Linked DNA regions of Nothobranchius furzeri. The main gene of each other region encodes a partner of the protein of the gene in region 4 in a complex. Links are inferred from orthologs where the notes say so. Each region holds a gene or a part of one and is shown on either strand. Other genes may lie near its edges.

Region 1 (3,636 bases), on a different chromosome or scaffold from region 4:
TAGTGAGAGGACAGTGGAAATGCTCCTCTCAGCTACTACACCTGAGTGCTCTCCTTCCACTTCCTCCAACTTTCATTCCCTCTGCGCAGCACCAGCGTTTCCCTCTGCGCCAATCTCTTTCCCACTCTCAAGTCTGCAGAGGTTTGTTTCTTGAACAGCAGCTTAAAGTCTCCATCGGTTTTTGCCTAATGCGAACCACCTTCTTCTTTCAGGGCTGACATCTCCTTTTGCAGCACCTGGCAGGTAAACTTCATGGATAGATTATAGTTTATTACAAAAGGGTGTGTTGTGTGTTCATAATTTTTGTATGCTGTGTTGCTTTCATGGCAGATGTCCCCCATCTTTGTCTACCAGCATGGCTCCAGCTGTTGTTCCAAAAAACCAGCCGCTGACGAGTTTCACCTCCACCAATACCAGCAGTCGGCATCGTTTTAGAAACAGATCTTGTCTTCAGGCGTCCTCCACATCAAACACAAACCTAATCAAGACAAAGCAGTGAAACGGGTGCCAGGATTCTTCTCAAAGTTCAGCTGCATTTTAATAGAACAAGTTATTTTTGTGACAATGATGCTTCATTGGGAAGATCTAACAGAAAAACACATACGTTTTATACCAAATCTCACTTATCTCTTCGTCTTGTGACAATAACATGCTTTAATTCTTCTGATTATTCTAATGCAATCTCATGATTTCTCAAATAATATTTTCAGTACATGAAAATAAATGTTGTAAAAAATATAAAATAAAATAAAGCACTTGGGTGTTTCATGAATTTTGTTGAAACTTTCTGTTTTGGTCAGAACGTTTCAGTCCCTCTGAAGCAAAAAGCTCCTGAACAAAGAGCAGCGTAAATGTCGGTAACTTTGTACAAAAATTTCTTTTGTAATTAAAAAATAACTAAATGGTCAACAAATCTAAACCAGATGCTAACTAACAGTACAGAGTGAGTCAAGTAAACATGATTTACTTCAAATTTACAAAAGCAATGATACAAGTGGAACAAAATACAAAAATAAATATTTTCTATTATTTTTTAGCATTAAATTTAAAATTGTGTGAAGAAAGTGTACCAAATCCTATATGCAAATACATAGTTTTTGTCATTTGAGACTGGGAGGTATGAAGTAAGAATAAATCCTGATCAAATGGAACACCAGAACATATGTGGACGTCAGTCAAACTGTTGGAGATGAAACTGGCTTCCTGTGTGTCTAACCATTTCCCGCAGGGCCACAAAACCAAAGACAGCCTGGATCAATCAGAAAACAAAAAAAAAACAGATTACAATCAGTCACAATTACTTGATCTCAAATTTGAGAAAACACAATAACATGTGTATTTAGGTGCATTTGCCACGTAAAATGGAGCTGAGAATCCAGTCATACCTGTGTGAGGATAAATATGGCAAGAACTATGTGGACACCTCTCTCCAAGGGCAGTATGATTATGGCTTCATTAAAAAGTTGAAAAAGAATGAGTGGAAACTGCAGCAGGATGCTCAGCAGCCAAAAGCCGGCCAACTCTGGAACCTTCCACAGATCAGAAATTACATTCAAACCCCACCCTGCATTCAGCACCTGTATCATGTCATCTGAGATGGTCTCACCTTTTCTTGCAGGTTTCCAGAGTAACCAAGATAAAGTCTGATGGCCTCAATCAGAGTCATCAGTAGAAGAACAGTCACAAGGACAAACTTGTAGTAATTTGGAAGGGCAGGATACTGCAAGAACAACTACCATCAGCATTCTTGTTGTGTTGGAAGCTTCAAAACATACATGAAAAATCTGATTCTAAAATGAATTGCTATAGTTTAATACATATCCATACTTAAGCACCAAAGTATCCTAAATCTAGCTTAGATATTTGGGATTTTTCTTTCTTTCTGGGTTTTCTGCTCGCGGCTTCCATCCACCAACCTCGTACCTTGAGGTGAAGCATCACAGCTTCACTGATCCACCAGAACGGGAAGAACCACGTGTTAAAGTACAAAGACATCTGGAGCTGGAGGCTGGACAGAACCCGTTTGTCTAAACACATACAAAAAAAATGAGGGGAACTAACTAAAATCGGTATGGTAAAGTAACAAGGCTACACACATCCATGCTAACATCCATGCTAACTCGACTTCATAGTTAGCTTGTGTTTTTGTTTTTTTTTTTTACCGTGAGGTATAAACGAGTCGTTGTGTTTTGAGAACGGCTCATTACGAGTCTGGTCGAATAAAACATTCCGAGAAAAATCTTCTAAGCGCCTCCTAACTGTCTCCGGCAGCTCCATTGCAAAGAAAATCAGGCTAAAAACAACATGACCAGAGGAGAAACACTTCCGCTTTTTCCTACTAGCTCCGTCGTGAAAGCCACCGTCGTTTCCATGGTAACCATTGATGGTAGTGGGGGTGAGAGAAAGTGAAAGGCCAGAAGCAAAACGTGTCTCCTTTTGCGTTTTCAAAACTTCCCAGATTTTAACTACATTGATAATAAAAATTTAAAAAGCGAGACTAGATAGGGGGGAGAGTATAATGTGTAGCTCAAATAATATTTATGGAAGCTGATTAACGCTACTCATTAAAAAATATCTCATTTCATTATTATGAGATAGCATTTGATATGGCTTTATGTCTCAGAATAATTAGTTACTATGAGACAGCATCATAATTTTTACTAGCTATCTCATTATAGTGATACTAGGGTTGCAGCTATCGAACATTTTAGTATTCGAACATTCTATCGAACCCTCTGTTGATTCTCTTTGACAATGTTTTAAGTGAAACAAAATTGTGGCTTTCTGCAAAAAATGTGTATGTAAAAATAGTATGTATTCAATAGGTGTTGTCTAGTTCCCTCCCTCTCTGCACCAGTAAAATTTGGTGCACATATTTAAACCCTCCCACTGTCCTAATGGGTGTGACCCCACGAGGAAAGTTGACCATTGAGCAGGGTTGATGGTTTATCCCTTGGGTCCACGTGGCAGGGGTGAGGAGTGAGCACCACCTCACCCCTGCCACGTGGACCTCAAGGGATAAACCATCAATCCTGCTTTATGGTCAACTTTCCTCGCGGGGTCACCCATAAAGACAGTGGGAGGGTTAACAAAGTCTTGAATCAGTAAAAAATAGTTCATGAAATTTAATTAATCAAACCATTCATACCATTTAATGATTAATTTCCACCCTACGTGATGAGATGTGGGGCTGAAATGAATAGATAGTATCTCATAATTATGAGACGCTATCCCTAAATAATGAGATTGTGTCTTGTTATTATGAGATAGGTAAGTCATAATTATGAGATACATTTTTTTAATCAGAGTGGCAGGAATGGGCTTCCATACTTATGGGAACCATGCTCAGTAAGTTTTTTTTAGTTATACAAGTCAGGCAAATAACACCAGGAGGAGGAAAAAACCTGTTTCATAGTTGTTGTTTTTTTGCTTTAAGAGAAAATGAAAATTACTGATTGTGTGTGAAGCCACTCCCGCTCTAGCAGAAACTAGGATGGCTGCAACAAGAGAGGCAGCTGATTCTCTGTCCAGCTACATGTGTTCAAAGCTGATGAAGAACCCTCTTTACTGTGGACATGTGGACTTCTGCATGGACTGTGTGAACAGCTACTGGGTCCTGAAGGAGACGAGAGGTGT
Region 2 (4,239 bases), on a different chromosome or scaffold from region 4:
GGAGAGGTCGAAAGAGAGAACAGACAAAAAGACCTGAGTCAGAAACAAATGCATGAGGTGTTTATCTGAAGCCTCTTATGTTCGGCCTTGTCAAGTGAACAGAGTAACTGTGTAAAGTTAGAATAACCAGAAAGAAAATATGTAACGAAGTTAGCTCACATTTTCTCTCAAATGTTTAACAAACAATAAAAATGTTAAATTCACGAAAAAAAGCATGATGAAAATCAGTTTCCGTGGACGTGGTGGCTCTTTTCCATCACTGCAGCTAGAGGGCGCAGCATCCCGTTTCTATGACAACCAGCATCATCTCTGTCTTTTCGTGTGCACGGCCCAACGCCTCTCGTGCTATTTTCTAACATATTTAAATTAGTCCAACAGTAAAAAAATCAAACGCATCAACTTCAGCTTCCACGTTTTAAATGTTGTTTTGTTGTTATTTACACAGTGCCAGAGCTTTACTGTGACGCTGATATCATGTCTCCAAACGGAATTAGCACGCTCCATCATCACAGCTGGACACATCTGTATGCAGATGGCTTCATATCTGAAACATGGGGGGAAATCCGCTAAAACATCCAGACTGAAACTGCACAAATGGCTGAAGTGACTAATAAAGCCAGCGTCATACTCACGTTGATGCGAACCAGCGCGTCCATGATAGAAGTAAAGGTTTGGAACTCCGACTCGGCCATGATGCTTTCTCGATTTAAGCGACTCAAAAGGATCTCCTGGAGAAAACCCCGGCTGGTTGTCTTCTTCTCCTGGCCGCGAGGCAAAGCCCGGGCCTTGGCTGGTGCCGCTCCGCTGCTCACGCACGCTGGATCGGTTCAGTCTGCCTCGGGGGAAGAGTCCACTGGTGGGATGGGGGTGGGAAATCTCTGGCTCAGACCATCTAACAGAAACACATTCGTTTCTTATTGCGCTGTTTTGTTTTACAGGCACGTTTATCCTGCCAATTCCAATTAAACATGCGGTTGTTGTTTGTCTTTTTAAAAATAAAACCGTTTTATCCAACAGCGAACGGATCTGGTGGCCCTTTCTATTTCTTTCATTTTGTCTTGTTTTTTTTTTCGGGGAACCTGAATTTTCGGGTAGTTTTAAGCATTTTTATGATAAAAATGAAAAGACATCAGGTGTTACCATCAGATCGCAGTATTGATGAATAAAAAAAGCAAATAAATAAACAAATAAATAATAAATAAATAAATAAATAAATATCCAGCTACACGTCAAGCTACACCTCTTTTACTAACTCTGACCAGGAAAAATGAAACGCGCTGACTACCCACCGTTACTAAATAAGATGTTTGGGTTTCTCTGTTTTATATTATTTACTGCTGATTAAAAACTCTTTTACGTGACGCGTTCATGGTCAACGCGGAACCGTTTAGGTGTTCGTTTTTTTGTCCGGTCATTAAAACCGTATGCACATTGTCCGTGGTTGTTGTAGCAACCGTTAGTTGCGTCACAACGTGAAGTTTTTGGCTCTGTTAACGAACGAGACACAAAACTAAGCTATAGACTTCGCGAGTTTTTAAACAAACAAATGAATCAGCTGGTTTATGTCATTAGCCGCAAGATAAACAGATGCTAAAGTGTTCGTTTAAAGTTAGCACATTTAGCTACATGCTAGCCTAGCTTACTGAGTGGTTTCCGTCGCAGTAAACAAAAACCTTTTACTCTTTTTTTTACTCACGAGCTTTTAGAGTTTTACTTTGCTGATTAGGATCACCATGTCGGCCATCAGCAGCCTTGTTCCTGCTCGGTTTCTCACCATCACAGCTCATCTTGTCATTGTTATCACCATCTTTTGGTCAAGGGTAAGAAAAAAATGGTTTATCTTTAATCTGATTTCTTGTGCCTGATTTTATTTTCATAATGGAGAAAACTTTATGGGATTTTAGATCTGTGGTTTTATTAGACGTTGCTGTTATATGAAATACCACAAAGGTGAACACACAAACACATTGTTAGAAATTCTGCTTAAACATCAAAGGTAATTAAAACATATTCCTTGTTGTGTTATAAAACGTCATTTAAGTTCCAGGAAGTGTCCTCATTGACCCCTAACCAGCATGTTCTGGTTGTTTCCCTGCCCAAACACACCTGATTCAATGGTTGAGTCACCTGTTTAGCATGATTAGGTCTGCAGAAGCTGTTAATCACCTCTAGGGTTGTCACGGTGTGAAAATTTAACCTCACGGTTATTGTGACCAAAATTATCACGGTTTTCGGTATTATCGTGGTATTGTTTTAAACGTGTTACATTTTCAGGAAACTAAATAAACCCTGTATATCAGGAAAATATTGTCCTCAGTTTGTGTCTAAATTTTGCCTAAAATGTGTTATTTTGTAATTATGTTGTTTATTTGTTTACATATTTCCCCTTAAGTCTTTAAAATACCAATATTTGCCCATAACTTTTCTTATTTTATGTCTGTTTGATGTCATCATTTTAAAAATATTAGACCAGATGATACTCAGTACTCAAGTAGCCTTCTAATCAGATACTTTTTACCCTTACTTGAGTAATAAACCCTATATCAGGAAAATATTGTCCTCGGTTTGTGTCCTTCCAGTGAGCTTTGCAGATGTGGGAAAATGGCATCAGGCAGTAATCGTTGTTAAATTCATAATTATTCTCGGAGAGAGACCAACTCTTATCTGCCCCTGGGAGCCCCGTAATGCATAGCGTCATTTCAACATGGCGGTGTCCGCGACACGGTTTATATGCAGGTAGCGGCGCTGCGGCTGCTTTATATAGCGACTCGTTGCGTTCTCCCTCAACCCAAATCCTCGGATCACGCATTTTAGCTAAAGCGCTAACGTTAGCTTGCCTTGCGTTGACTGTAGAGTTGTGGGTGATGGTCACGCAGATGTGTCATGAGATTTGAAGCGTTGCTGCCTTTCACAGACACTTTTTCTGCTCGTGCTGCAAACAGGATAGCCGTCTTCTATCAGCTTTCCCTCGGCATTCTTCTGGTATAAAAAAATGCCCGTACTTCTGACTTTGTCTTCTTAGAGCGATAATAAATGTCCTGAGTGCTGCCGTCTCCTCCTTTGTCCGTTATTTCAGCTTTAGCTTCAAGAAAGTTTTGGTTGTAAACAACAAAGTGCGCATGTGCCGCCGGCAACTTCAGCAGATGATACGGTGGCTGGTAAGGGTCACCGCGCCTACACCGCAGCCACGGTAATCCACCGAGATAATATAGTTTTTAAAAAAACAAGACGGTTATTATTATTGTCAACTTTTTTACCGGGGTTTACCGCTACACCGGTTACCGTGACAACCCTAATCACCTCTTGGTTAAAAACAGCAGAGCAGAGAAACCACTGAAACATGCTGGATAGGGGCCCTCGAGGTGCAGGGATGGACACCACTGCTCTACGGTCAACATCACATCCAGATTATTCAGCCCTTGAAATAATTTGCAATTGTTTTTCTTTTTATAGGAAAATAATGTAAAAGCATGTTTACCACTGGATTTCACACCAGAGCAGTATGATACCGAAGACAAAAAGTGAGTAGATATGTATGTAACACACTCGTATTATCAGGTTCTCGGATTAAATGATCTCTTTTGTTCCCTCCAGGCTGGTGGTGGCGCTGGCAGTCACACTTGGTCTGTTTGTAATCGAGCTGGCTGGCTTCTTTTCAGGAGTGTCTATGTTCAACAGCACTCAGGGTCTCCTGTGTATCCTTTACTCATCCTTAATGAAATATATATATATATATATATATATATATATATATATATATATATATATATATATATACATATATGACCTTTAATATTCAACAGTAAAGCGACTTCTGGTTAAGGCTGTAACACAAAGAACACGCAGCAGCAGCAGCTAGTGGATAACTAGCTTAGCTCTCTCCCACTTGGTCGGTTCTCTCTAAAAGACAAACGGAATAGCTGAATAAAACCCAAATTACTATAAAATAAAGGTTTGTTATAGGTTAAAGAGTAAGGATGAGTGAATTTGTTATTAAAAAGCTAGTCACTCCCAAATTAACTTTTTTTTTTGCTGATTAACTATATAAATGAGTGTCAATAGTTTTGCTAAGAAATACACACACACACACAGGCTCACAACGACACTGTGACATCATATGGTACCAGCTAACGTTCTAGGGTACCTCTTAGCCAATAGCGATGGCAGATTTAAATTCAAATGCAGTGCAGAGTTTTTACCTGACAACGGCACGACACTGACAGTTTTAGGCAGAAAATT
Region 3 (4,015 bases), on a different chromosome or scaffold from region 4:
GATTGGCCTGACCAAGAGTTGTTTAGGCCACAGAGTGTGGGTAGACCGACCTGCAGGGTAAAATATTTTTGAACCGCATTGGTTTGTCTAGTTTTCTAGGCTTATGCTCTCAGAACTTGCCTTCCCTGTCTTCCTGTCATAGATTCAACAAGGTGTTGGAACCCGTCCTCAGAGATTCTGGTCCATGTCATCCCACTTTTACATCCATGAGGGGAATCTCCCATTCCACCACATCCCAAAGATTCTGGACCAGACTGAGATTTGGTAACTGGAACCCATGGTCATGTTCCAGATCCAGTTAGAGATTATCTAATCTTTGTGACATGGTGCATGATCCTGCTGGAAGTAGCCATCAGAAGATGGGTCCAAGTGGTCAGAAAGGGTTAGGCTAGATTTCTAAATGCATCGAGTTCCTGCCATATGATCGCGAAGATCAAAAAAGAGCTGGAGGTGAAAAAGTGATACAGGTGCTGAGCTTGGCAGACAAAATGGGAGATAAAAGGAAGCAGGTGCAATAAGAGCTGCTGTTTATGGAGCTGCAAAGGTCAGAAGACTTGGGGTGGGCCCTGGAGACAGCAGGAAGCACTGTGTGGGAGAGAGCTGAGAGAAGAGCAAAAAAAAAAAGGTTGCTGGGTATGAAACAGCTGAAAGAAAGAGCTGTTTTTGTCACATCTGAAACAAAACACAGTATTTAGACACACGTGCCAGAGGGGTTTACATACTTTGGAATGCAGATTTTTTGGTTTCATTCATTTCTGATTTTCAAGCATGTGGCGCAGTAGGAAAAGCAGACATCCATGTTTATATACAGCACTGGAGGTGTCCAGTTAGCTGGAAATTTTAAGTTAGGCTTCTTGTTTTGGATGTTGTTTTGTTTCAGTTATTGTTGAACAGACATTGCAGTCCTTTGGGCCTACAAAACAATAAAACGATGGTTGAGAAATAACATTTTCAGGGCTGGTAATAAGGTTAAAAAACGATTTTCAAACATGTTTGGTCGTGAAGTGATTTCAGTCGTGAATGAGAACGAACCTGCATTTTTAAAAGTCAGTGTATTTGATTTTGCTACCCTCTAGTGGACGCCTAGACAATTAAACCAGAGTTTTTATATTGTTTCTCCGCCTTCTTTTCTCCTTTTAATAAACTTCGGGTGTTTATAAAAATAAGTATTTTGACTGAATTTCTTGAATTACTTTTTGCTCTATTTAAAATTAATTTTAACACGTGATGGCCCAATATCACCAATAAGAATTGCGTTTAATTTTATCCAAACCGGTAGCCATAGGGAGGAGTAAACGTTGCCTTAGCAACAACCTCGGATCGCTTCAGACTGACCAAATTAGCTCGACTTATTTAACAGACTTTTACTTTCTTGAACCTCTGGAGTCACGATGGCAACAAACAACCCGAGCGTGTTCCTCCTCACGGTGAACGGGCAGATTGAGGGAGCGAACGTAAGTCGTCTTTTTAGCTAGTTTTAGCTTAGCTGCTAGCGTTAGCATTAGCAACAATGGCTCGTTTGGTGCTTCATCCGGGATGTTCCGGGTTGTTTATGGTGATGTTTGTCTTTTATTTCAGTTTCCAGAGCATGACAATCTGTACTGCAAATATTGTTACGTGTACGGCCACGACTGGGCTCCAACCACAGTGAGTATTACAACCATTAGCATTTAGGATGAAACATGAAGTATGCTTGTTGGGTACCACTTTACAATACTAATACATTTATTATAGTGATGTTATTAATGTTTTCAACGTTTTAAAGCCATTAAGTGTTTATTATGCACGAATTAAGGGTGAGAATGAGACTAAACTGGCCGGATTCTTGCCGGTATACTTCTACTAGACTGTATGTATTACACAGATCAGACTGCTATATAAACAATTTATTAGCATATTATAAAAACATAACTATCACATGACGTCAAAAGTGTAAAAAACATGTAACTTTCTGAAATGTTTTAATATAGAAACTAGAGGAAATATATGGGTGATCAGATATGGCTCACTATTGGGCAAGATGTCTCTTTTCCACTCTTCGTTCATGTAAAATAAACGTCTTGGGTTCTGAGAGCACTTATTGTGCATTTTTAATTTTCATCTATCTGTTCTGGATTTGTAAGACCTCAGAAATATATTATTTAAAGCAAATACTAACTGATAATGGATTTTTTTTAGCTCTAAATTAAAAATAATTAATTACGTTTCCTTGAGTAATAATACAATTTTGTAAGATATAAACAAAATGATATCTCAAGGCTTTTTCCACATATGTGGATGCTGTGTTTACAGATGGGTTCATAACAATAAACCTTATTGTTAAAGATGTTCAATATGCTTTTTTTTACGGATAATACTACGTTTGAACACGAACCCACACAGATGCAGACAGTAACAAACGAAACCTCAGATCAGCCATATTTTGATGTGTTTGAGGAGTTTGATGTATAATGTGAGCATGTTATGCAAAGGTTGTGTCATTCAAACAGTAAAAAAGATAACTCAACGATGTTACATTTTAATGCCAATATCGGACGATGGTATTGCCCAATAACGTCAGACGTGACTTTCAAGGATACAGAACAGGGTTTATAGATAGTTAATGCAGCGGTGGCTGGATGGAGTTGTGTTGTAACGAATGTGACTCTCCAGGGACTGGAAGAAGGAATAACTCAAATAACCTGCAAAAACAGTCAGACACAGAGATTAGTCTGGAACTTTCCTCTGGAGACGACGTTTAAGAGCACAAATCCTTTTGGGTGTGAGTAGATCACAATTTCATCATCATCATCATCATCATGTGTGACTCTTTAGGATTAACGCCGTTTGTCCCCCAGGGCCTCAGCTGGTGGTGAGTGTGTACGGACCAGATGTGTTTGGTAACGATGTGGTCAGAGGCTATGGAGCAACGCACATCCCCTTCACACCTGGACAGTCAGTATTACTTTCATGTTTGACCTAAAAGCATACAGAATGTGTTACTTCGGTTTGAAGATACAGATCTGAATGTTTTTCACTTGTCAGACATAAAAGATCCATCCCCATGTTCGTTCCCGAGCCCACGTGGAGACTTCAGAAGTTCACAGGGTGAGATCGGTCTCCTTAGCTGTTGGAAACCCGTGATCTTTAGAGGAACAGTAAATATTTCATCTTCCTCTCATGTGGAACGCAAGCTTCCAACACAAACACACGTTTTAAAGGTTCATTTTTGACTAATCTTTGTCACGTTTGGATACTTTAGATTCACACTCGGGCTTGTTTGATGTTGCTCTCAGTCTTTTTAGTGTTTTTCTTTTCATTTTTACCATGAAAACTGAATATTAATGTGATTATTATTAGATCTGATGGAGTTTTTTGCCATTTTGAGGAGCGTTTTGTGTAAAACTTACTAATTATCTGGTCAGAGAAACAGACTGTGCATCCTAGAGGACTGATGAGCCACATCCAGGCCTCTAAATGTCATAGATCGCCATGTGAGGTCATTTCACTGCTGTCAGGTTCTCATCACATAGACATTTTAGCAGAAATATGAATAAATTCCTGCAGGACCTGACCCCTGATGCACCAGAAATGCTAGTTTATTGGGGATGTTTACATTTGTAAAGAATGTGATGAACCACAGTGAGCTTTAGCAGACCTGTGCCGTTTTAGGACAGCAGCAACTGGGACTAGCCATTAGCACGGCCTTCGTGAAGGATGCAAATTATTCAGGAAGCTGTGAACTGTTTCAGAGAAACACGCTAAAAGATCCTATTTCTGTTCAGCTGGCTGCTGGGGCGGCGGCCCGAGTACACAGACCCTAAGGTCGTGGCCCAGGGTGAAGGCAGAGAAGGTTAGTGGTGCTTTTTCTTCTTTTACCTTTCTAGAATAAAACTTTTAACATATATATATTTTTCCGTTTCAGTGACAAGAGTTTGTTCCCAAGGCTCTGTAACCGTCTCCTTTCACATCATGAGTAAAGACATGAAGAAGATGGGCTACGACGTGGGACCGTCACACGTCCACTCTGCCACGC
Region 4 (3,513 bases):
GTGTTTATGATTAAAGATGAGATCAATTAAACTACAGAAGCATTTGTATATTAAAAGATTCTGAATGCGTTGCATTTTCTCTAAATCTGCCCTTTGTCCCTGTCCGTTAGCAAGAATGATCTAATTACAGCCTGCCAGTACAGCGGATGGACTCCTATTATTCCTACTTATAGGAATAAATCTTTACTAAAGGGAAGCCTAATAAAAACAGCAAAAATGAAAAATCTTCCTTTTATTAACCCTGCGGTTTCATTTCTTGGTAACTAAAACTACCCTCCGGTAAACAGTTTGCAGTGCAGGATGAAGGTCCTCCTCCATGTCAGCCAGTGGCGGTCGCGTGGACGATTCTTTCACAGGGTCAGGCAGAGTGATGATCCTCCCATCATCTCCAAACCACTTCCTTCCCTTCAGGAGAAACAAACATCACAAAAACACGTTTGAATATTAACATCAAAATGAGGACAGTTATTTGTTTGAGCAGAGCAGCAAGCTGACACCTCGTCCATTTTCAAAAGGCGGTTCTCTAGAATGTTCTCATTGGTCAGAGATATGGCGGGCCTCTTTCCCACGTAGAGACCCTCCTCCTCCAGGAAGCGAGGCTTCATGTTTTCAGGCAGTTTGACCGAAGCTGGCACTGCAACACAACGAATCATAAAGACACGGTTCCAGGTAACGAGCAGCCGGCTGTACGTCACCAGTGTGAATCACATGTTTTACCAGTTCGAAAGCTCGGTGTGAACAGTTCACTCTCCTGCTGAATACGTGTGTGGTAACTGACATATTCAGCCTTCTTCACTACCAGGAAGTCTTGAGGAGAATGATCAATGACAAACAAGTCATCTGCATTTTGAACCAGGTGAGCTTCATCGCTCTTAAGCAGGTGCAGAAAACCAGAGTGAATGTTTTAGAACAAGTAAAAATAATCATCTGAGCACAATCCTCTCACTGATGTGGTACCTGGTTTACAGTTTCATCTTGATCATCTTCCCCTCCGGCATCTTCTTCCACCTCAGCTGCCTTTCCTTCCTCCTCATCTCTGGCCTCCTCTGCAGATTTTCTTCGTATTTGCCGTTTTCTGCTGAGCCTCTCATTCGGACGATCAGGCTCAAAGTTGAAAGTAAAGAAATTGTATGACTCCTCAGCCGTTGGGAGGTCTCTCACCTGCACGTACAATATTAATGGTAATTATAAAACTCCATACAAGTGTTTTTGTACAGTCTGAATCTAAGTGTCTTACTCTTCTTGCAGCCTCTCTGAACTTGATCCGGTTGTGAAGAACCGGAGGGTCATCATGTCTTCCTGCACCGACTGGATCAACCTGCTAAATTAAATAATAATTCATCTCTCCAGCTATTTTGGAAACCAGCGTTCTTTTGTGGTTGACCTCACCCTTGTGTCAAACCTCGTCACGGTGTCTCTGTCTCTGAGCTGTTGGAGTCGACTGGGTGACTGTACAGAAGCCTCTAGCTGTTGAAGCTTCTCTCCTTTAGACTGGAACACAAGATCCAGGCGTGATGTGTCAAAAGGGTCCCTTGCACATGTAGCGACATGAATGGCCTCATTTGTGACCCAAAGGTCACACACACTTCCCCAGCTGGGTCACGCTGTCCTGGCTGAACTTCAGTCCACAGCTTATCCATCACAGGAGGCGTAAAGTCTGCTAAAAACCATCTTTTCTCTGTCTGCTGTTCCGTCCAAGACGAAGGACACTTCAAGATTTAAAATAATCATTTTTAATAAACTCTTTACACTGTTTATTTCAAGGTTCATACATAATCATCATGGTTCATTATAAATGTATTTCATTACTGAAATGACTTATTATTCTTTGGTTAATAATAATAATTATTGTTTATGATAATCAGTAATGTTTGATCAGTAACCAGAAGGTCAAGTACACGTGTACACACCATGCAGGGTAAAGGTAACTGCACCTCACACGTCTTTGCTCCATAACCAAAGCTTTCTATCTCTGAGAGGGCGTGTCCTGAGTTTTAATAAAACCAAAAACTCCTCAGTTGAAGTTCAGTCCTGAACCAACCAAAGTCTCTCCGTGGCACGAGAGTTCCACGAGGATAAGGGTCGGCCGCCCGAAGCCTCCACCTGTCACGCCGATAGAATCGCTCAGAATAAACACCACCTGCACCAGCGGATGCAAAACTCCTTCAGAGTTAAGCCAGACGCAAGCTCAACACTGTGTACCCTGCGACAACTCTTGGACCAGAGAGTCGGTACCACTCGGGTCTCCCCTACCGGACCGAGTACCCAGAGGCTGACAACATCCTCCCTTTGACCTCCGGATCCACACAGAGGGTCGTCTAACTGGGTGAGGTGGAACACAGATGGCGTCCGACGCTGTTCTCTCTAAGAAACAACTCAGTTAGCTGCAACAACTCTTTCACCCACAACGTGTTTCTCTCTCTGAAAGAAAACTCTGAGAATCCATCCACGCATTCCACTTTAGTTTTCACCCAGACACAGGTTGCTTTTAATACCAAGTTTTAATATCAAAGCTGTTACAAATGGTCATCTTTAAATTATTAGTAATAAATTCTTAACTTTTTAAACCTGACTCTTCTTTGAAATGAAACACAGAGTGGTGTACATTTGGTTATTGAATAAGCAAAGATTCCATTAAGTCTTCTGTTTAATAAAATTTCTTAAATTAAATATTAATCTTTGGATTAAATATAGACCAAGACAGTTGGTGTAGGAACTTCTATCGATTGTATAAATATCCTGGATATTTATACATGATATAGCTTCATATGCTAATATTGTTGCTCTTTCTCAGGATCTAACAAAGCTGATAGCAAACAGCTTTAAATCCAAGTATGTAGATTGTCCATGCTGCACAGACTAAAATGTCTATGTGTGACTGTATGATTTAAATCCTAATTACAATAACAACGTATTTGCATGCCAGAACAAAAAAGTACTCACCCGTGCCGCTCTGAGCTTCTCCTGCAAGTGCTGTGTCACAAAGGTGTCTAAAAACACGGAGCTGGAAGGCTGTGGGGTTGCTGAACCTTGAATAAAAGCACATTGGGAAACAATAACTCCAATTTTTGTTCAGCATTGTGTGTTACTTGTTAATTCATCTGACAGAGCCAAGCAGACGTGCATACCTCTGTTGATCAAAACTAATGTGGTTGTTCACTCCTCTTTCTCTCTGATATCAGTTTTCTCATTATAAACTATATTAAAATGTCTGTTCATGTCTGAAGCTACAGGGAAAATGTTGAGAGAGCTGAATCCTCCTTTACTCAAATACCTGTACTACTGGTGAAACCTGATTCAGAGCTGGTGCTAACATGTGAGTCAGTCACAGCTGGACAATGTTAAAGGTCCACTTCACCCATACTACTAATACATTTGCAGTGGCCCATAATAGGAATGAATGCCTTGTAAGTCTTTCACTGGGGTAAAAAAAAAGCTCTGGTGCACCTGCTTGAAGACGTAGCATTAAGCTAGAGGAGAAAGTAGTTTCAGATGACAGGATTTGAATTCTTA

What was found. Proteins that work in one complex are often made in the same cells at the same time.
Region 1: cc2d2a (region 4) and tmem17 share a complex: the UniProt entries of both Homo sapiens proteins name them as parts of the tectonic-like complex. The link is inferred for Nothobranchius furzeri from reciprocal best matches to the Homo sapiens genes CC2D2A and TMEM17.
Region 2: cc2d2a (region 4) and tmem107l share a complex: the UniProt entries of both Homo sapiens proteins name them as parts of the tectonic-like complex. The link is inferred for Nothobranchius furzeri from reciprocal best matches to the Homo sapiens genes CC2D2A and TMEM107.
Region 3: cc2d2a (region 4) and b9d1 share a complex: the UniProt entries of both Homo sapiens proteins name them as parts of the tectonic-like complex. The link is inferred for Nothobranchius furzeri from reciprocal best matches to the Homo sapiens genes CC2D2A and B9D1.

What each region holds. Positions count from the first base shown.
Region 1 is NC_091744.1:77,713,013-77,716,648, reverse strand, and holds tmem17 (transmembrane protein 17B), read right to left. Parts: upstream 2,361-3,636; 5' UTR 2,278-2,360; coding exon 2,163-2,277; intron 2,028-2,162; coding exon 1,924-2,027; intron 1,721-1,923; coding exon 1,607-1,720; intron 1,530-1,606; coding exon 1,386-1,529; intron 1,250-1,385; coding exon 1,172-1,249; 3' UTR 514-1,171; downstream 1-513. Other genes in the region: agbl2 (cytosolic carboxypeptidase 2), read left to right, coding at 1-141, 213-243, 331-499. UniProt on the Homo sapiens protein: Transmembrane component of the tectonic-like complex, a complex localized at the transition zone of primary cilia and acting as a barrier that prevents diffusion of transmembrane proteins between the cilia and plasma membranes.
Region 2 is NC_091745.1:78,310,934-78,315,172, reverse strand, and holds the start of tmem107l (transmembrane protein 107), read left to right. Parts: upstream 1-1,426; 5' UTR 1,427-1,733; coding exon 1,734-1,820; intron 1,821-3,453; coding exon 3,454-3,521; intron 3,522-3,594; coding exon 3,595-3,695; intron 3,696-4,239. UniProt on the Homo sapiens protein: Plays a role in cilia formation and embryonic patterning. Requires for normal Sonic hedgehog (Shh) signaling in the neural tube and acts in combination with GLI2 and GLI3 to pattern ventral and intermediate neuronal cell types.
Region 3 is NC_091752.1:49,448,092-49,452,106, forward strand, and holds the start of b9d1 (B9 domain-containing protein 1), read left to right. Parts: upstream 1-1,202; 5' UTR 1,203-1,391; coding exon 1,392-1,454; intron 1,455-1,578; coding exon 1,579-1,647; intron 1,648-2,652; coding exon 2,653-2,761; intron 2,762-2,837; coding exon 2,838-2,934; intron 2,935-3,024; coding exon 3,025-3,087; intron 3,088-3,764; coding exon 3,765-3,832; intron 3,833-3,904; coding exon 3,905-4,015. UniProt on the Homo sapiens protein: Component of the tectonic-like complex, a complex localized at the transition zone of primary cilia and acting as a barrier that prevents diffusion of transmembrane proteins between the cilia and plasma membranes.
Region 4 is NC_091748.1:39,031,118-39,034,630, reverse strand, and holds part of cc2d2a (coiled-coil and C2 domain-containing protein 2A), read right to left. Parts: intron 3,030-3,513; coding exon 2,944-3,029; intron 1,492-2,943; coding exon 1,390-1,491; intron 1,322-1,389; coding exon 1,238-1,321; intron 1,162-1,237; coding exon 958-1,161; intron 872-957; coding exon 718-871; intron 635-717; coding exon 498-634; intron 406-497; coding exon 274-405; intron 1-273. UniProt on the Homo sapiens protein: Component of the tectonic-like complex, a complex localized at the transition zone of primary cilia and acting as a barrier that prevents diffusion of transmembrane proteins between the cilia and plasma membranes.